Oryzias latipes: one gene and its partners. The main gene of each other region encodes a partner of the protein of the gene in region 3 in a complex. Links are inferred from orthologs where the notes say so. Each region holds a gene or a part of one and is shown on either strand. Other genes may lie near its edges. The genes, in order: chic2, hspb8, stub1 and bag3.

Region 1 (5,221 bases), on a different chromosome or scaffold from region 3:
AGAGCACCACTGATGCCATTTTTGCTTTGAGAATGTTGATGGAAAAGTACAGAGATGGTCAGAAGGAGCTGCATTGTGTGTTCGTAGATTTAGAGAAGGCGTATGACAGGGTGCCGAGGGAGGAGCTGTGGTACTGTATGAGGTCGTCTGGAGTGGCAGAGAAGTATGTCAGAGTAGTTCAGGACATGTATGAGAGAAGTATGACGGTGGTGAGATGTGCTGTAGGTCAGACAGAGGAGTTCAAGGTGGAGGTGGGACTACACCAAGGATCAGCTTTGAGTCCTTTTTTGTTTGCTATGCTGATGGACAGGCTGACAGACGAGGTAAGACAGGAATCTCCCTGGACGATGATGTTTGCGGATGACATTGTAATTTGCAGTGAGAGTAGAGAGCAGGTGGAGGAACAGCTACAGAGGTGGAGGTTTGCTCTGGAAAGAAGAGGCATGAAGGTCAGTCGTAGTAAGACAGAATACATGTGTCTGAACGAGAGGGATCAAGGTAGAAGCGTTAGGTTACAGGGGGCTGAGGTGAAAAAGGTGCAGGAGTTTAAGTACTTGGGGTCAACAGTTCAGTGTGATGGGGAGTGTGGAAAAGAGGTGAAGAGGCGAGTGCAGGCAGGTTGGAGCGGGTGGAGGAAAGTGTCAGGAGTGTTGTGTGACAGAAGAGTGTCAGCAAGACTCAAAGGAAAGGTGTACAAGACAGTGGTGAGACAAGCTCTGCTCTATGGGTTAGAGACGGTAGCAGTGAGACAGAGACAAGAGGCTGAGATGGAGGTAGCAGAGATGAAGATGTTGAGGTTCTCCTTAGGAGTGACCAGGTTAGACAGGATAAGGAACGAGTACATCAGAGGGACGGCTCATGTTGCCTGTGTTAGCGACAAAGTCAGAGAAGCCAGACTGAGATGGTTTGGACATGTTCAGAGGAGGGATAGTGGATATATTGGTAGAAGGATGTTGGAGATGGAGCTGCCTGGCAGGAGGGCAAGAGGACGGCCAAAGAGGAGATATATGGATGTCTTAACAGAGGACATGAAGTTGGCTAATGTTAGGGTAGAAGATGTCCATGATAGAGTGAGGTGGAAAAGGATGATTCGCTGTGGCGACCCCTGATGGGAAAAGCCGAAAGAGAAAGAAGAAAGACACAAAACGTATTATGTGAGTAACAAATCACGCACAAATCCAAATTTATGCACAAATCCTAATTTACAAACGCACAAAGCAAGAATATGCATACACAAATTCTAATTTACGCACAAATAAAGAATTACGCACACACAAATCTGAATTTACGCACAAATAAAGAATTACGCACGCACAAATCCGCCTGAGTCTAATTTCTCTCTATATTGGACGCAGAGTTAAAAATATTTCCTGAAAAGGCTGAGCCTGTTTTTTTTATGAACAATTACTGAAATCAATTTTTTATGCATATATTCTTGACGTTTTCGTGCTTAAACCAGTGCACAATTGAACTCCATTTTAAGTAAAATAAAAATGTGAAAAAAAGTTTATTTATTTATTTATTTATTTATTTATTTATTATTTTATCTATAGATTCTGGAGAAATACCTTTCTCCACAACATATACACTTGATGGTAATGTTAAAACGGTGAAAAGGCTAAAAAGATGATTTAGGTAAACGAAAATTCTCTCCATGGATTAAAAAAAGTGTAATTGTTTAATGGTACGACTTTTTACTAAATTTTAATCTGATTTTTTTTTTTCATATTAAAGATTAAAAAAAGAAAAGAAGAAAAAAAATCCAATCTAAAACAGATAAATCGACGTAAAGATTCGCCCGTCCCTCTTCCGGTGTCGTACGGTTACTGCGGCGGATGTTGATGTTTCGTTTCGGAGCTCGCGTAACGATGTGAACCACTCTCTGTTTTATGACTTTGCTTTCTGATCGCTCGTGTTTTTCCCCGGTTAGCTTTCACTGCTCGTCCCAGCCGTGTCTCTCCCGGTGTCTTTACCGGGAAGTGCGAGGCTGAGCCGTGCGATGATGGAGGACTTTGATGAGATATACGAAGAAGAGGAGGAAGAAGAGGACGAGGACAGGGCCGCAGAGGAACAGCTTCTCAAGTACGCTCCGGACCCGGTGGTGGTACGAGGATCTGGCCACGTCACTGTGTAAGAACCGGCCTAACTGTTGGTGGTCGTGAGGACATTTTTTTTCTTTATTGTTGTCGTGTGGCGATTTGTAGCCGCGGCTTTTATCTAGAAAAGTAAGTGCTAACTGTGTTAGCCGCTAGCTAATACAGCTAAATTGTTAAGCTAACATAATTAAGCGACTATTAGCCAAAATATGTCGATTTAGCTTCGAAAAAGTCCATTTGATAGTTTGTAAAACATTTTGAATTTATCACACAAAATAAGAATAGTTTATTTCAGGCACTGTCAAGTCAGTTGCTGAAAATTGTGAAACTTTAGAAAATACTTGTCATATGTTTGTGTTTACTTACTAGCTAGCAAAATGTACAACAATAACATTGAACATTTGATTAAAGAGAGAAGTCTTTTGCAATATGCAGTTTTTAATAAGGCCATGGCTAACAGAAAATCTAACATTTGTGTTTATATTCAGAACATAGTCCTAAACTGTTGAGTCAAAATACAACATTTCCTGTTGGATTGAAATATTTTTAGTCCTGTTACCAATTTAAACAACAAAAGGTTGCTAACTAGTAAGACATGCTCTGAAAAGTAAGACATTGGAAAAGCTTGCTGAATGGAAAGAACTAAAATATTAGCATTTAGGTTATATGTAAGTGATAATGGCAGACGAAGTGTGGATTATGTATGGGTCATTAGATTTATTGAAAAATGGCTTCCTATAGAGGACAGCTAAAATCATTTTTTAAAAGGAAATTTTAGGAACATTGTCAGATTAGGAAATCAAAGACATTGTTTATTTTTCTTCAGAAAACATCCGTTTTCCCATGAATATCTATATATTTTTAGACTTCTTGATTATATGCTTAACAACAAACATACTGCTGCATTGGCACACAAATGGAAAACAAAGTGTCTTGTGTAAATGACACTTCAGAAATAAGAAAACCACACAGTTTTGATGGTTTTAAAATGTGATCTAAATATATGTCATTAATAGATATAGTTATAATGGTTAGTCCCACTCAAATTATTTTTTATATATTCTAAAAGCGTTCCCAGTGGTCTTTTAGTAATGATTATGCCATTTTTAGACAACAACAAAAACCTTTGTTTTCTAGGACATTTTAGAAATTTGTCTCCGATCTGTGGGTGTGATTGTTGGCATGACCCAATTTCCCATCATCCCTTTGTCTACACTCTTGCATTCTAGCTTACAGTCCCTCACAATACCAACCTAACATTTCTGGTCCAACAAAATTGGCAAGCAATATTGAAGCTATCCAGCTGTATAGTTTAGAACCAGATACCAGCTCAGAAGAAGAAAACAAAGACTTGCATGGATCTAGTCGTCTGCAAGTGGATGCATCATGGAGTTAAGCAGGGAGCTTGTTAACGGCTAACTGTAGCTATAGGTCAAAGCTACAGGCTTTTTCAAATGGCATTTTTTCGTCTGCTCCTGATTCACAACAAATTGAATAAAGAAATACTCAGAAATGCAAATCTAATCTTAATTTTTTTTATATATGTCCTCCATCATGAATAAAGTGCCGCAAAAACATGTTAAAAAACACTAAAAACAGAACTTTCAGCAGAGAGGGGCTTTAATAAATAATAATGGTTATGATGAACGGTTATAAAGAATTAAGTGCAGAACCGGTACGACCGACCGACCCCAAATCTATGAATGTACATAATTATTATTATTGTTAAACTATTTCCACACCTTCTGAGCATTTCTTCTGGAGTGTGTAAATAATTGTACCAGAATGTGACAACCACCGTTTACAGGCATTAGTAGCAGTGTGAGAGCTGTTGTGTTAGTAGTAGTGTGTGTTTGTTGTATGGGTGTCTTAAGTAGTGCGTGTGGGATTTTCAATTTTATGTGAGAGTCTTTGTAGTAGGCGCTGCGTTTAAAACTGTAAACAACGGCTTAAATGGCTCTTTTTAATCCCTTACTGAAGTTAATATTTTAGAAAAGAGTTCACCGTTTCTCGGTTTGAAAGTTACACTTATCGGGTTTCGTTTGCCATTATTTTCTCACATTTATACTTTTGAGTCACAAAGGGGGGTAGTAAGCAATGGAAATTGAGTCCTGGGCATTTCTAGCCTTGGTCGCAGTGTGATTGATACATTTTGATTGTACTTTCTGTCTCACAGGTTTGGACTAAGTAACAAATTTGAGTCCGAATTTCCCTCAGCGCTAACAGGAAAGGTGAGTCATCAATTTTGCGTCATATTTTTGCTCTAATTTCCTTTTAAACTTTGTTTAAATGGGACGGGAAGATGCTAACGTGGATGAGCTTGAATGTGAATTTTGACTCCCCATAGGTGGCACCAGAGGAATTCAAAGCCAGTATATATCGAGTAAACAGCTGTTTAAGGAAGACCCTCCCGGTGAACGTGCGGTGGCTGCTGTGTGGCTGCCTGTGCTGCTGCTGCACGCTGGGCTTCAGTTTGTGGCCCGTAATTTGCCTCAGCAAAAGGGTGAGGAAACCCACAGCCACACTCCTAATCTGTTTAGACCAGGAGTCTTTAACCCATTTGGTCCAGTTTCCTACTGACCAAAACACAGCAAGTCCCACTTCACCATTTAGAAAAATCCACTGTATTTATCATTCTGTCTCCATTTAGTCATTTATTATATATACTATAAAGCTTTTCCATATTTACACTTATTGAATTATAACACTGTCAAATGTTTCTGTTCGTGACATTTTTAATTCCTTTTACTTTTGACAACAGCACATGTAAGTCTCTTTCAAAATAAAATACACCCGTTGTTAAATACGCTCCTCCTGCTGCAGCAGATTAACTTGAATTAAAAATGCAAGAAAACCCAGTCAAACATGCCATTTTCTATCATGACGACTCAAGTGTGCCTTCATCATATTTCTCTTTTTACCCGTGAATACAAAAATTACAACATTAGTGTAGAATCCAATAAAGAAATCCATACTTATGAATGCAGAAGATCAGAATCCGTGCTTTAAGCTTATTCTGACTGTATATTCAACCTATAACCATCATTTTTTTCAGTTATCTGACATGTTAAAAGTCAAAATATGAAAAACTAGTCCCTGACTTCTGGGTCAGACCAAATCCTCAC
Region 2 (5,060 bases), on a different chromosome or scaffold from region 3:
CACCATCTCTTATGACGCCACGCTTGTTTTTGCAGCTTTTCACTGCTCCCCATCAACCATAAAAAGATTGTTTTTTTTTGTAGATCTGTGTTGTTTAAGTGTTTTTCCAGTTGTAGTTATAGCAGCACTTTCCTTCCTCCTAAAGTAGGTGGAGTCTCTGCACTTCACTGTGTGGCTTATTACGAAATGAAACAGCAAAACAAGTAAATGTCCTCACAGTGTGGATAAACTGCTATTCACATGCTATACAGCGACCTCTCGCTATATTGTGGCTCACCTTTGCGGACTCACTGTTTTGCACTTTTTACCAGTACAATATTTTAAGTGTGACCAAGCACAAAAACGGACGTAATCCTTGTGGCTAAGCACATCACTGCATTGCCCGCACATATTTTAAGTGCATCTGAGGCTAAATTTTGTGGTCGGTAGCAGGTATTTTAAGGGGTGATTGATAAAACACGCATGGATACCGAGTGGCACAGCATATATCTTAAGTACGGCTATATTAAACCACGTATTTTCAGTGTTTAAAATAAGTGTGGCCAAAAAAAAAGTTCAGCACTGGCCGCCCAACATGTATCTTAGAATTACGTGCCAATGGTCACTTTCTTTCTTTTTTTTTTTTAATACAGCACGCTGTGTTCTACGTCTGATTGGCCACAGACCATTGTCAATCACTTCTCACTTTTTTCCCTTCCTTTGCTTCTTCACCTCAGTCCTTTACAAAGTCCATCTGCATTCATATTGCAGTGAAAATGTTTGTGTTTGAGGAAACTGAGGTTTTTGTTTTCACTTGTTTGATGAGGTGACAGAAGACAAACTCTAGTCTTGACCAAACAGCTCATTGTCTAAATACTAAGTAACATGTTACAGGGCTGAACTTTCCTTTTTTTCTCTCTTTATCAAACATATTTAATATTAGCAAGAATACAGATTTGATAGAAAAAAGTTATTTTAGCAGAAAGAACAAAACCTTCAAACACATGAATTTTCTTATCATCTTTTAGTAGCTGATGTGGTTTAGGTGATTTATTTATTTAACAGTAATCAAGTCTGAAACTAAATTTACCTCTAAAAATATATAATAATCCTATGGAGTCATATTAAGTTTCCATTGACTATTTCACTGGTGATTTCCCCTTCATGCTGATGCATCTTTGGCTGCATGTCACTGAGCTGTTTAGTGTCTGATGCGTCATCCTGAAAGTCTTCATTCGGTCACTGCAGGTGGATTTTCTGCATCAGCAAATCTTCACGAAGAAGTTCAGGTGTCACTTCTTCAGTGTGACTTCAGACCTGCAGCAGCTCTGAGTTATCTTCTATTAAAACATGATGAGTCACGGGGGGAGGGTCCTCCCCCAGCTGCTGCGCCTCCACTAAAAGAAATATTTACATCTACCGGGAATGTTATCGTTATTTGGAGTACTTTCCCTCGTTGCGTTCACGCACGTAACGCTAGACGTTAGTTTTGATTAAATGAATGTTATGTAATTATGAATGTTATGTAATTGTGAAATTTTGAGGTTTGTTTTTTTGTTCTGGGTTTATATTTTTTACAGCGTAGGGCCTTTCGAGGGCCTCCCAGCACTTTCCTGCCCCGTGAAGCCCCCAGCTGGGTATTTAACCCGCGCTCCGTGTCGATGTTGTTTAGCGGATAGGCTTTTGCGCGTAACGGGCGGTACGCGCGCTCCAGATCAGATAAGGTTTATCCCCCTCCCGAAGAAGTACTATTTTTCAATAAGGAGAAAGTTCTTAACCAATCCATTTCCAAAAAGTTTCTGAGTTTGTGCTGAAGTGGAGATGGCAGAGGGAGACTTTTACACCATGGGAAACCGGCAGCGCTTCCCCAGAGATCCGTTTGAGTCTCCGTTCAGGGATCAGTCTCCCTTCAGAGATCAACTGGCGTCCCGTTTTATGGACGATGACTTTGGGATGCCTCCTTTCCCCGAGGATCTGGGCATGGACTGGCCCGGGTGGGCTCGGCCGGGCAGGTTAAGCTCGCGCCTCGGCGCCTCGCCGTTTGGCACCGGTTTACGCACAGGCTTCCCCGCGCGTCAGTCGACGGGGGGCCCCGCGGTTTACACCAGCAGCCGGTACGGAGAGCCCCAGTCCCGGGGCTCCCCCACCAGCTGCGGCGGGGAGCCGTGGAAAGTGTGCGTGAACGTGCACAGCTTTAAAGCAGAGGAGCTAAACGTGAAGACCAGGGACGGGTTCGTGGAGGTGTCAGGTGAGCTTTCAGCCTGAATCAGAGGGCAAAACTTTGAGGGTCCATTCTGTGACCCTGACCTTTGAGTGTTAATGTCTCATAACTTTCAATATGTTAATGATTAATGATCTGGGGCCAAAGTGCGCAAACCTGCTGCATCTAATGTTAAAAAAAAGACACTCTGACTCTGTTTGCAAACTAACGTGCAAAACATTAACAACTAAAATCATTGACATGAAGTGTAAAAGTAGGCCACGTCTATCACTTTTAAGACACTGGAGCCCCCATCTTTGTTTCCAGGATGTTCAGGCTAAAAATAAAACAACACTCTTAATTTCTTCTCCAGCTTTTTCTGAATGTTTACGTAATTATAAGATAAAAAGCACTAAACTAAACATGTTTTTACTGAGAAACCAAAGCAGCCTGCTCTGTCTGGAAAATCTTCTGAATCTTCAGTTCAGGACAGATTTTGAAGACTGTCTGGAACTTAAGTTGTGAAGCCGATACTTAGGCTTGGACACCTGTTTTTGAATTCTTGGAAAATCGCTCCCTTAGCTGCTCATGAGCTCGATTTAGATTTAGGCTGGAGCAAGAATGTTCTGGAAGGGGCTGGAGCTTCTTCCGAGTGTAATGGTGCAGGATGCAGACTATAGCTGGATGAAGATGTGGAAACGCTTCCTCTTCTCCAGGCTCTTAGGGTCAAATTATTCCAAGGCTTCCCTGAGCTGAAGAGGGCAAGGAGGTCGGAGAACCTCCTCCTCTCACTCAGCTCTGGGTTTTTTATAAACACGTCAGTGGGATGCCAGCTGGGGTTGGCGCCATTTTGGTCCTTCCTGCCACAGTGGTTCAAGTGGTTCTAAAAGTGTGGCAGGGAATGCATTCAACCTAATTAAAGGTGTCCAACAGCTGAGTGAACAAATGTTGAACACTCGAGTTTTACACAGAAGCACAGAAGACAAAGCATTAAGGAGAAGAGAAACACAAGACCAATCAAAACTGTGGAAATTAGATCAACTCTGACACTTTTACTTTTGTTTTGCTCAAAGAAAATCAATTGGAAGCTTTGAGGCTTCAGTCTAATAAGGGAGAAGGACACTTAGTGGCATACAGATGTCATTACATTCCCTGAAGTGTGCAAATGAAGCATGAGAATTTTTTGGAATTGTTATTATTTTCTGAGTTTATAATAGATTCTCATTACATAACTATGAACCAACAGAAATTATATACAAAGTTGCTAGAAGTTTTTAGTTTTACAAAACTAGACAGTACTGTTTCTAAAACTCCTCCAGACAAACTGATGCCATTTGGATTAAAAAATAAAACATGTTGGTTTTTTGTTTATTTTACTTTTAACAAAAAAAGAAAAGCTAAGCATAAATGCAATAATAGACCAACTGCAAAACATGATCCATTTGACCAGCTTGATGGAAACGACTGAAACGAACTGCTGGAATGTTAAGATAACCTGAGAGATCAACAAAACCTCTCACTGAGAGGATAGCACGGCCCGTGGAACGTATTTCAAAGTAAAAGCATTTATACTCACAAAGCCTCTTTCTTTATTCAATTTGCTTTTTTAAAAACTGTTTTTAAGTGTTCAGTCTTAGACAAGATGAAGCTCAACTGTTGGAAGCAAATGTGAGCATTTTGGAAATGCATTTTTTAACTGTAAAAAGTATTTGATTTCTTCTTTTAATGTAGCTGCACATCTCAATTGATTAAAAAACATGATTACCATTTCAGAAATAACCAAATTAAAACAAATATTGTTTCTTTTGTCTGTGGGGAAATGATGTCCCACTCCATTTCAATTGAGACACATTTGAGTGGTACAGCGTGAGCTGCTGCAGGGTAAACATGGTTTATGTGGCTCAAAAAGGATGACAGCTGCTGATTTGAAAAGTTTGGTTGGCAACAGCTTCTAGAAGACTGTTAAGGTCTCTGCAATGGAGAAGCATATTGATCCAAAAGTGCAGGAAATTGCAGAGCTTATCTGCTTAACAACTTGGGCCTTTGAAAACAAACTTAAGGAAACTTTGATCAAGGGTTAGCTTTTATTTCATGAATAAACGTCTGGCTGGATTGTAGCTTGTCAATAACCTTTTAAGAGACTTGACACAGTCTGTGCTGCTCTGAGTTGAGATGTGCTAAGAACAAAAAAAAATGAAGATGCTTTCGTTTTGCATCTTTAGATCTGCTTGTTCATGTAAGCAATAAGCCAGGAGCTGCGTTGTACGGCCTGCAGGCACTATGCACCCCCCCCACCCACAGCCTCCTCCTGACTCACCCTGACCGGCCGAAATTCTGCCACCCAACCCCTCACTACCACCCTTCTGCCTTCAGAACTGCGAAAATAAATTCCTAAAAACAAAAAAACTTTTTTTCAAAATGGGAGCTTTTTATTGGTTTAATCTCCATAGCAACCACTTTATTTTTTTGGTCACCTGGAGGTGATAAACAGTTCCATGTTATTTTTAGAAGAATTGGCAAAAGTAAAATTTGGGATTTCCTTTGCAACAGAGATTTTTTGTCAATCACGCTCACGTTCCTGATATGTTTGTATTGTATGTCACAGTGTTTTTTTATTGTTTTTATTTTTTTTCCAGCTTGAGCCAACAACTTATGTATTAAAATGTAACAATAGTCTGGTAAAAAATGTGTGAGTAACAGGGAAACGCCACTCTTGCAAGCTTGCCACTCTAATGTCTTTTTCCTTTTTAGTTTCCCACTGATGCTCGCGAAGGTGATAGATTGAAAACTCTAGGAGGAGTTTCAAATTTTAGAAAGTCGAAAGGGATTTTTTTTTTTAAATTCAAGATGGCGGCCTCTTCCAAAACTCAGCGGAATTTGG
Region 3 (5,171 bases):
GCTGGTTTGAAAATGACCTTTTCCACAGTCAAGGTCTCACTAATTCCTCCACTGTCAAACATGACGGACTGCAAAGACCAAAATGTTATCTGCAGTTTCTTTGTGAGTTGGATGTCTCAAGAAAACTGATTCATAAAAAATGTTTTTAATATTATAACCGTTGCTGAAAAATCCCTTTGATGATTTAAAAATGTTTACATTTGTCAACTGAATCCAGAATAAGTATAAATGTATCATCAAATTTATTTTGGCACACATCTTTATTTGGCACATATCTTTATTAGAGTCACTACATAACACAGTGATGCAATGGTAATTCATAATATTGTACTAAACTACTTAATAACAGATTACATTAAAGATTTGACTCACATTTAAAAAAACGAGTAGCCCGATGATGCCATCTTCTGGCCAATACACTAGATTTCCTGTGCTGATCTTTTACAAGTGCAATGAGAAACCACCCAGTTGTCTTTTTCTGTATCTTGGTGTGTAAAATTGGTAGTTCAACTGCAAAAAATGCAAATATTTCTGATCATATTTTTTAAAATAACTCCTCTTTACACATTTCAGATTTGTATAAACGTCTCAAACAACCTCAGGTAAACCCATCTTTCCATTTCTTGCTCTCATATTTTTGCTTATTCAGATTTAAATGAGTGATTGTAAAGATGCATAAAAATAACAGGAAATATTTAGGTGTGGCTTCATTTCATTTTCAAACCATATTTGAGAAAAAAATACTTTTCTGAATGTTAAAAAATATATACGTTTTTTTTTTTCAATTACATTTTTATGCTTACAGCAGCATAAAAGCATAAAAAACGCAGTCTGCCCTGGACAGACTGGCGACCTGTCCAGGGCATCCCCTGCCTACGCCAAAGTAGCCGAGATAGGCTCCGGCAGCCCCGTGACCCCGAAAGGGACAAAGCGATACAGAAAAAAAATGAATTTTTATGCTTCTCTTAACATAAGCAAAGTCTCATGTTAAAATTTGGCATCAAGCTAATATAAAAAGTGAAAAATGAGTAAAGACATAAAAAGCACCAAATCAAATAGAACAGATTTATCATCTTCAATGCTTTTGGATTAGTGCAATAACAGAAGTTTAAGGAAGACAAAATAATAATAATAAATTATTTCCATTAATATCAATTATTTTACTAATAATTTCGAATCAGATATAAACAAACACTTTTATTTGATAGGGTGTTGTTATAGTATTTTGTCTAACGTAATGTAAGGTCAGTACCTATTTTCTATACAACTAACCATCACTCAGAGATAAGGTGTGGTTACTTGTATCAGTAGTCAGCTATGTTAGTTCTAACCACTAGCACTGATACCAGGGTCTTCTCACATATAGAAGGCCCCTGTTTCACGTTGTTTGCATGCTCTTCTCACAGCTCCAATGACCCTCTATGATTAATTTAGGATTAAAGATAAAGGGCTGGCATTCTATAAAGCCAAATTATGAGAGCAGTCCCAATACAGATGAGGGTTTGTTCCCACAGTACTTTTACAGAAATGAGCACAGAAACTTTACATTGTTATGATACTTGAAGATAACCTCTGCGCAAACTCCCATCAGGATTCGTGTGCTCTCGGCTTCCGTTGTTAGAGCGTAAAGCGTTTGACGTCAGCACCACAACATTCCGTCTTGACAGTTCGTACGGGTGGTAAAAATAATCCGTAACGATTTTATATCAAACTAAATTAAATCTGTTTGAGCTGAATGTAAAATTTCTGATTAAAGGTAAGGGTGGGTACTATGTAAAACTTTATTTAAGCCTCCAACAAACTGAAACGGACGTGAAGCAACTGTAATGCAAAAAGGCTAAGCTAGCACTAGCTAGTTTATGTTTTTTGAAGAAACCGAGCTGCGTTGTGGTAAATATTGAAATCCTTGAACAAGTAGTTATGGTTTTACTATCCTCTGCTTCAATTCACCAGAATCTACCCTAAATTAAATGTCAATAAAATTGATTAGAGACACAAAAGCTGTACTATGTCCCCAAACAAAATAATTTCAAGATAAAAGCTTAGCTAATTTTAGCATAGCATCGATTCTCCTCCTCTGTTTGTTTGTAAGTTAGCAATCTTATTTTTGTGTTTCTTGTCGTGTAACAATAATATACAATTTTTCGTTAACTTAAATATATTATCTTGTATCTGGTGTTTTTACTCGAAACCTGAGTGGATGTGTAAATTAATGGTTCTGGATTTTTTTTAAATAGCTGTGCTCGCTGATGGCCATCGATTTCCGAATGTGAATAGTTAATTCGCCGGCAGTCTAGCTGTGATTTTCAGCGGCGTGCACTGTCAGCAAACCCGAATGAATGCATTCTGAGCGGCACCAAGCAGCAGCGTTGCGCCGAGAGATCGTTGAAGAAGCAGCGCATTGCAGGTGCATCGCTAACTCAGCACGCGCCTGTGTTTTAGTGTGTGAGATCCAAGCCGGACGGGACGTTCTGAAAACCTGTTGTCTAGCCAGCCGAAGAGACGGGGAACAGGATAGGGAAACAGGGCGAAGCGGGCCCCGCGGAGCCGGTGGAGAAGATGGCCGGCAGCCCGGAGAAGAGTTCCACCGCGCAGGAGTTCAAGGAGCAGGGGAACCGGCTTTTCCTCTGCCGCAAGTACCAGGATGCTGCCTCTTGCTATAGTAAAGCTATTGTAAGCGTCTGGGATTTCTCATCCAAACACTAATGGCGAAGACTAAACAGTTTGCGCGTAAATACTCTTTATTTTCCCCATTGTGTCTTCCAGAACCGCAATCCATCAGTGGCAGTATACTACACCAACAGGGCCCTCTGCCACGTGAAGCTGCAGCAGTATGACAAGGCTCTGACAGATTGTAAGCATGCACTGGAGCTGGATAGTCAGTCTGTTAAAGCCCACTTCTTCCTGGGCCAGTGTCACCTGGAGCTGGAGAACTACGATGAGGCAATCGGCAATTTGCAAAAAGGTCAGAAACTAGTTTGATTTTTCTCTCCTAGCCGTTCGTGTCGGGTTTTCTTAATCATAACACCAGAACAAAGGATCACAACCTTTAGGTGTTGAAGATGGATCAGTTCACTTGTGCTTTTATTGTGGGATTCTAACAAAAAAGAATTTTCTGTGGGGATGAGAAAATCAAACTTGCACATGTTCTTAAAGGCACCAGCAGTTACAAATCAATGCATTTACCTTAAAACCAGAGCATTTCATCAACTTTAGGTACATTAAGAAGAAAATGACAAAATAAAAAGTATCAAAAACTGTAACGGATTATTTTTGCAAAGGTTTCCTGAACCTTCAAATGTATCAGACAAATGTAAGTCCATATGCAATCATGGTAGTTAATCTGTCCAAGCATATTAACAGAAAATAGAGTGGAAAGAAAAAAGACTTTCAACAGAGAAAATCCATGCAAAATTCTGATTTATTTCACCATCATCAGAGTTAGACGTTTTTTTTTGTTTTTTGTTTTTTACCTGGGCTCATTAGAAAAGAACCAGACAGATGCTTAGTGGTCCAAAAGTAAAGGTTGTATTTCATTTGGAGACGCACAGACCCGATGTTGCCTGAAGGGTCTTGTGAAGCTTCCACAGTCAGGGATGATGTAGGTCCATGTTTTTTTGAAGTCTACACAAAGTTCTGTAGCACTTCATGCTGCCTTTTGGTGTTGAGCTCATTGGAGCTGCAGATTCAATTTTCCTGCAGGACATGGGGCCCGCCCACTCTGCCAAAAGAACCAAAAGCTGGTTCAATTAATAGTATTACTGTGGCTGATAGCACATTCCCCTGACCTGAACCCTATTATGAATCTATTGTCTCTTGTTTGGAGGAAGATGAGACACCAGACTCAATAATGCAGATAATGTGAAGGCAGCACATAGAAACCTCCATTACTTCTACATAGAGCCACACGCTTCATATCCTCAGTGCATTGATGCAGTGATTCACATAGAGGAGCCCTAACCAAGCTAAGTGATAGAAATGAAGGCATTTGAACATTTAGGTTGTAAACATCTTTTTCTATTATTTTGATGATAAAAGCTAATATTCTGACACATTCTATTATTTAGATTAATTATCTTCAACGTTACAATAAATCAATGCTCGACATATTTCAATCAATTATATGCCGTTTACCATTTAATTTGTGTGTATAAATGTATGTTTGTGTGTGTGTGTGTGTGTGCGTGCGTGCTTGGGTTTTGATCATATTGTGATTTATTTGTCTTGCTGCAGTTTTGGGTTTGGATTCAGCACAGATAACTTTTGTAGTGATTAAGAGCAGAATTACATGTTTATTGTCTCACTACGCTGTTACACACGCCTGCAAACATACAATTCTTACATTGGTCTTGTTTGTCTCTGTGCCGTGTCAAGTGTTAAAAAATGGGCAGATGATCTCTGTCTAAAGTGAATCCTATTGTTTGCTGTTTTGGTTAAGATCTGGATTTATATCTGTTCTAATGGAAACTTCACGTTGCTGTGAATTGGCTTTTTCACATCATTTAGAAGTGGAATATTGTGGAGGACATTTTTCCCTCTCAGAGGGTTTGCATCGCTGCAACATAGATTTTTAAATCTCTAGTTTGTTTTTTACTCCCTTTTTTTGTATATTTGATGTTTTCTGCAGCTTTTATTCAACAACGAAACACGGAAGGAAAAGATTTGGTCAGCAGTTCATTGACTTATTTGTCAACCTTCCCATTGTTTTTACAGCTTATAACTTGGCGAAAGAACAGAGGCTGAATTTTGGAGACGACATTCCCAGTGCTTTACGCATCGCCAAGAAAAAACGCTGGAACAGCATTGAGGAGAAACGCATCAACCAGGAGAACGAGTTACACGCTTATCTGACCAAACTCATTCTGGCTGAGAAGGAAAGGTGAGCTCTCCTGGGAAAAATCTACTTATTTCAATTATTGCTTTTTTAAAATCTGCAATCCATATCACCATAACTTAATATTTTAAAGAGAGCTGGGTGATTACAAAGAAAAACACGATGACAATCAGAACGGAAGTGATGCTGCCAAGATCGCGTCAAGACATGTAAGCTTTTACATTTACTCTATTTAGCCACAGCAGCTGTTCCACATTTTTTGACATGTCTGATCTTCTTGATTTATTGATTTACTTTTATCATCCTGTGACCTGCAAAGGACAAATATTTATTGGAT
Region 4 (5,235 bases), on a different chromosome or scaffold from region 3:
AAAGGTTTCCGACGTACCTAAAGCACAGAGACGGGATTTACATCATTACCATCCAGTTAAAAGTAACATCTTTCTATGTTATTCTGCATTTGTTTAGAGTAAGGTTATGTAGATCCCGTTACACATACTTTCCATGAACTAGTAGAAAATATAAATATATATATATATATCCTCGTAAACTAAGTCTAGTCTTATTTCGTTCCAAGCTTTGCGGTTACATTACCGCCACATATAGGAAAGCTAGAACACACCGGGTTAACATTGACAAGCTAAGCTAGCCGATATTTCCAGATGTTAGCAAACACTATGACACAACCGGGGGAGGGGGGCTTACAGAGTTCTGGGGTGGCTTTCGTCGTCCATGATCGATGCTGAAAGTCACGTGGTCCTAAAACGTTAGCTGCTTAATACCTAGCTGTCATTTAGCGACACTAGTGTCAAATACAAAGCAGCTAGTTACCCAGCTCCTCAGATGCTAACTGACGGGAACAGAGCGTACGTCAGACCATGAGTGTTTCTCTTGCGCATGCGTAACAGCCTGTCCTACGGAAAAGGTGAAGTAGCCTAAATTTAAACCTTTATAACCTTTATAAGAAAATGCAACGTTTGAAAAACGAAGGTTAGATTTTCTGTATCAATCATCTATTTCAGGGTGACGCTATTAAACGGCAATAGAGAAAAGTCTTTTTTTCCCCTGACGTTACGTCATTTCCTTAGATTTTAAGCGGAAGTAAGGGTTCGCTTGTTTTAAGGACCCTCCTGAGACGATGCCCGTTTGTGTCAGCTATAACTGGAACAGAGGGGATTTCTGGAAGCTCGGGTCAGGTGTCAGCGCGTGTGAACTTGTTTTTAAACACCTTTCATGTTTTAATGTTCAGCTATCGAGTTATTTTTATTCTTCTGTTTAAACTCTGCTGTAATGTCCGGACTTGATGCTGTGTGCTTTATAAAGTTAGGCTTTGTGTAGCCTGTAGAGTTCTTTTTACAGATTTTTGACTAATCAGAATAATTTTATTGTCATTGTATATGGTGATACAATGTAATTGCAGCAGCCTTGGAGTGATGAAGATAAATAAAATATGTATTTAGTGTAAAATTTAAATGTAAAGAAAAAAAATTAATTCACACGACACTAATGTGATTATCCTTATAACAACAGTATAGTAAAGGGAGAATGGATTATTTTACAATAACTCTAACCCATAAACAGTTTATCCCAGTATATATGGTGAGTCATAAACAGTCTCTGACATGACCTTATAGAGTCACAGAAAGCTTAGCCTTATCTTTATAAAGGACATTATTATTATTATTATTAAGAGTTTAACTATTAATCTAGTTAATTAATAGTTAATTAATATTAATTAATTTCTATTTGTACAATCGAGTGGACCTATACCATTATAAACTCGTGTCAAAATCAATTAAATCAATATTAGAAAATTCCATCTGGATTGAGGTAAAATTAATGGTCACACTCCTAATTATTTATTAATTTTTTCAACATGAATAATTTACTCTCCTGTTTTGCAGCATTTGACATAATTTAAACTATTTATAAATAACAATGGTTTCAAATATCAGTTTGATAATCAAACAGCTGTTTGCTGCACATATTTAGAATGACTACTTTGTATGTTTTTAAATCTTTTAAAGTTGTTTTAAAGTTTAGATCCTTCATATATGTTTAACATAATCATTAGATAGTATCCACTAGAATTTAGATTCCAAAAAGCGGCTTTAATATGAAATATTGATGAAAGCAAATGTTTGTCTGGACTGGAAAACAGAGTAATGTTATAAGCAGCTGTCTCTTTGTGGGGGGGTTGTGTTTGAACCTTTTGATTTTTCATTTTGTTTGTAGATTTTTACTCATTTTTAATGATAAAATAGAATTGGACTAGTTTATTTAGTGACCAAATCTCATTGAACATGTGTTCCTCGCCGGAGGCACGCATGTGTTTTTGAACATGTTTAGCCCCCCCCCCCCGTCTGGGCTCTGATGGAGTCGTCTCCGCTGCTCTCCGGTCCGTCGTCACGTTTCAGGTGGAGCTGCTCTCGGTAAACCCTCGTGGGGGTCTCCGGCTTGGATCTGCAGCTCCGCCCCCCCCCCCCCCCCCGCCCCCCTTGCCGCCCCCACAGTTAACCCTGCTATTTCCAGAAGCTTCCAGCCCACTTCCCCACGTCACTCCACGGAGTCTTTAAAGCGCCCGCCGCCCGTATAAAATGTCTTAGTACCGGAGCGCGAGCAGCATGAGCGCCGTGCAGACACGCGCCCCCGCGCCGACCATGGCTAACAACGACAGCGACCCCCTGCCCCTCGGCTGGGAGGTCAAAATCGACCCCCAGACCGGATGGCCGTTTTTCGTGGATCACAACAACCGAACCACAACCTGGAATGACCCGAGACACGTCGCGACAAAGGTGAAGGAGCGCGCGGGCAAAGTTGCTTCCCCGGCGGGAAGCGCTCGCGGGGAATCTGCGTTGGTTGTTTCTGCGGAACATTGTATTGTCGGTGGTAACGGCTGATCGGTCCCGCCATGTCCTCGTGTCATCATAACTATTATTACGCGATGAGTCACCCTGCAGTATGTGGCGGCCGGGACGGGGGGGCCGTTTTCACATTAAGGTCATTTTCCCAGCAGGGACCGCGGCTGGGCTGCTGTGTGTGGCGGGGGCTGCTGGGCGGGCGGTCCCGGGCAGAGGGCAAAGGGTCGTTCCGGAGGAGACACCGACGGGGTACCGATTGTTGACCGTTTTCCTCCAGGTTTTGGTCTCCTTTGGTTGGGGAGGGGGGGGGGGCATCAGACCTGTTGCTCTCTGCTCCTTCACTTCTTCCTGACATCTCGTGCTTTTATTTTTAAATTCTCTTCCTGTCTGATCGGTTTTCATGGAGGAAAATAGTTCACAGCGGTGACCTGTTCCATAAAGAACATTCAAAAAGACAAACAGTTGGTCTCCTTCAGATTAAAAGTGCTGTCCTGTGTGATGTTGGCGTGTTGGGGGTCAGAGGGGGGGGGCGCTGGGCACAGGGACACATCTTCAGGAGGCAAACTAGCAGCTGCCGGGCTGGAATGCAGAGGTTGTTCTGGCAGGGCAGCGTCACTTTTGGCTGCTGGGTGAGGAAATGTGACCCGGGACGGAGAAGGCGGAACGTGGATCTGGAGAAAGCGGAACGTGGATCTGGAGAAGGCGGAACGTGGATCTGGAGAAAGCGGAACGTGGATCTGGAGAAAGCGGAACGTGGATCTGGAGAAGGCAGAACGTGGATCTGTGGAGGATTTCCACCTGCGGCCGGACGGTCGCGAACACAGACGTCTGCACAGACGCTCACCTGACGTCAACGGCCCAAAGCACCGTTATATTTGGAAAACACACCTGGAAAACATGGAGGCAGCATGAGACGGGGGCTTTGTGAGCAGCTGTGGTGCAGAGGTAGAGCGGTTGACTCTGGATTAGGAGGTCTCGGGTTTGATTCTGGCCTTGCTCTGCCCCCATCAGAGTGTGTAAAGCACTTTAGGCTTTAGAAAAGCACTATAGAAGCACAAATACACAATTATACAAAATATCACTGATGAATCAGTGGTGGAAGTCTTAAAGTTTTTACCTGAGATTTGTGTGTGTTTTTTTAATGAATTTAAAGGTTTTTTGGTTCTAAATTCTTTCCCCTGCCTATATTTCAGAGTAGAGAAGCAAACGGACCCAACATACCTCCAGAACAACATCCTAAGGAGACCCAGAAGACCTTTACCCGAGAGATGAAGCACCCGATTCTGCGGCCCGGCTACATCCCCATCCCCGTCTTCCATGAGGGCGCAGAGCTGCGGCAGCAGCCGCCGCATCCCTGCTGTACGTACATCCAGCCAAGCACAGCGCAGAGTGTCCGGTACGAAGGTCAGGCTCCTTCGCACGCCTCCGGACTTCACGGCAGGCCCAGATCGCCGTTACACGTGGCCTCAGACAGCTGCTCCTCTGAGCCCGGGAGGGCCAGCACGCCCACGCCGCCAACCACAGAGGTACGGGTAACATTTGGGTTCTTCACTGACAGCCACCCTTGATTACAGTGGGAGTTTTCAAAATAACGCATTTCATACACGGAGGAGATTGATTGACAAGGTCAACAGCCAATCAGGATGCAGAACATAGCGAGCTGTGAAGTAAAATGGAAATTGGCTATAAAAAGGTGGCCGGCGATCTAGTGAGGGACCAGCATGAGCTGAAGCGGGTAACATTTGTGCGACCAAACGTGTTCACTGCGTTCTGACTGTGTTGCTGCTCAGGTGCACACCGCCACACACCACCAACCGTGTCGACCCGGCAGCACCGGCCTCCAGGCCGGTTACATTCCTATTCCAGTCATCCATGAGGGCGGAGGGGGTCCGCCTCAGGTAAACCCCGCCGTCTACTCTCAGCGCGCCCCCTACCAGCGCCTCCAGACAGACGAACGGCCCGCCTACTCTGCGGCGCCGTCTTCTCGGGAAAGTGCTTCCCCGACGTCGCTGTTCCCGCAGCACCGGGACGCAGCGTCTGCCCGCCTCCCACCTTCGCTTAGGAGCCAGTCCCCGACGGTATCGCAGCTGCAGGCGGACAGACCGCAGGTGGGCTTTCCGGTCTTTTCCTTTTGCCAGCGTGTCCCAGATTCTGACATAAAACTGTAACTTTGTTATTTGGATCTCAGCAGAACCTCCTCACTAGAGACCCGGCCCAGAAAGTGGAGCAGGAGCTGCAGAAAGCAGAGAACCTGCCGGTTCCTCAACCGCAGCTCACAGAGGTGGACGCTCCACATCTGGAGCAGCCTCAGTCCCAGGAGCCGCAGCATCACGTTGCAGACATCACGGTTCAAATCCCTCCAAAAGCAGAGGTTCAGGACCCAGCCGGCCCTGAAGCCCCCCCAACCAGAGCAGAGGGGGAGCAGGGCGCCGTTCACCCGGGCTTGGCGAAGGTTCAGCAGATCGTGGGACGGGTGGCTTCGCTGGAGCAGGAGGCCAAGGCTTTCAGCGGGAAGAAAAATGATAAGAAATACCTGCTGCTGGAGGAGCTGCTGACCAAAGAGCTGCTGGCTCTGGACTCTGTCGACCCGGAGGGACGCGCAGATGTGCGGCAGGCCCGGCGCGATGGAGTCCGGCGGGTTCAGACCATACTGGAGGAGCTGGAACAGCTGGAGGAGCGGCCAGCCAAGCCCACCAGTGAGACGCCGGCGGACGGTGACAGAGGAGAGTCCAAGGAACATTATGT

What was found.
Region 1: the proteins of stub1 (region 3) and chic2 are in contact, whole or in part, in a crystal structure (PDB 8SUV), measured with the Homo sapiens proteins. The link is inferred for Oryzias latipes from reciprocal best matches to the Homo sapiens genes STUB1 and CHIC2. Residues at the interface, in NP_005852.2 of Homo sapiens: Lys30, Asn34, Phe37, Tyr49, Val61, Asn65, Leu68, Leu71, Val94, Lys95, Phe98, Phe99, Gln102, Arg128, Asn130, Phe131, Gly132, Asp134, Ile135; in NP_036242.1 of Homo sapiens: Leu156, Pro157, Lys158, Thr159, Pro160, Ile161, Phe162, Arg163, Pro164, Asp165.
Region 2: stub1 (region 3) and hspb8 share a complex: the UniProt entries of both Homo sapiens proteins name them as parts of the chaperone-assisted selective autophagy (CASA) complex. The link is inferred for Oryzias latipes from reciprocal best matches to the Homo sapiens genes STUB1 and HSPB8.
Region 4: stub1 (region 3) and bag3 share a complex: the UniProt entries of both Homo sapiens proteins name them as parts of the chaperone-assisted selective autophagy (CASA) complex. The link is inferred for Oryzias latipes from reciprocal best matches to the Homo sapiens genes STUB1 and BAG3.

What each region holds. Positions count from the first base shown.
Region 1 is NC_019859.2:11,115,785-11,121,005, forward strand, and holds the start of chic2 (cysteine-rich hydrophobic domain-containing protein 2), read left to right. Parts: upstream 1-1,807; 5' UTR 1,808-1,999; coding exon 2,000-2,130; intron 2,131-4,272; coding exon 4,273-4,327; intron 4,328-4,443; coding exon 4,444-4,599; intron 4,600-5,221.
Region 2 is NC_019867.2:3,770,351-3,775,410, forward strand, and holds the start of hspb8 (heat shock protein beta-8), read left to right. Parts: upstream 1-1,623; 5' UTR 1,624-1,800; coding exon 1,801-2,227; intron 2,228-5,060. UniProt on the Homo sapiens protein: Involved in the chaperone-assisted selective autophagy (CASA), a crucial process for protein quality control, particularly in mechanical strained cells and tissues such as muscle. Displays temperature-dependent chaperone activity.
Region 3 is NC_019877.2:8,953,810-8,958,980, reverse strand, and holds the start of stub1 (E3 ubiquitin-protein ligase CHIP), read left to right. Parts: upstream 1-1,619; 5' UTR 1,620-1,890; intron 1,891-2,442; 5' UTR 2,443-2,559; coding exon 2,560-2,673; intron 2,674-2,766; coding exon 2,767-2,965; intron 2,966-4,713; coding exon 4,714-4,879; intron 4,880-4,967; coding exon 4,968-5,043; intron 5,044-5,153; coding exon 5,154-5,171. UniProt on the Homo sapiens protein: E3 ubiquitin-protein ligase which targets misfolded chaperone substrates towards proteasomal degradation.
Region 4 is NC_019873.2:29,858,162-29,863,396, forward strand, and holds the start of bag3 (BAG family molecular chaperone regulator 3), read left to right. Parts: upstream 1-2,176; 5' UTR 2,177-2,253; coding exon 2,254-2,424; intron 2,425-3,683; coding exon 3,684-4,016; intron 4,017-4,280; coding exon 4,281-4,598; intron 4,599-4,678; coding exon 4,679-5,235. Other genes in the region: tial1 (nucleolysin TIAR), read right to left, coding at 1-17, 335-363. UniProt on the Homo sapiens protein: Co-chaperone and adapter protein that connects different classes of molecular chaperones including heat shock proteins 70 (HSP70s), e.g. HSPA1A/HSP70 or HSPA8/HSC70, and small heat shock proteins (sHSPs), e.g. HSPB8.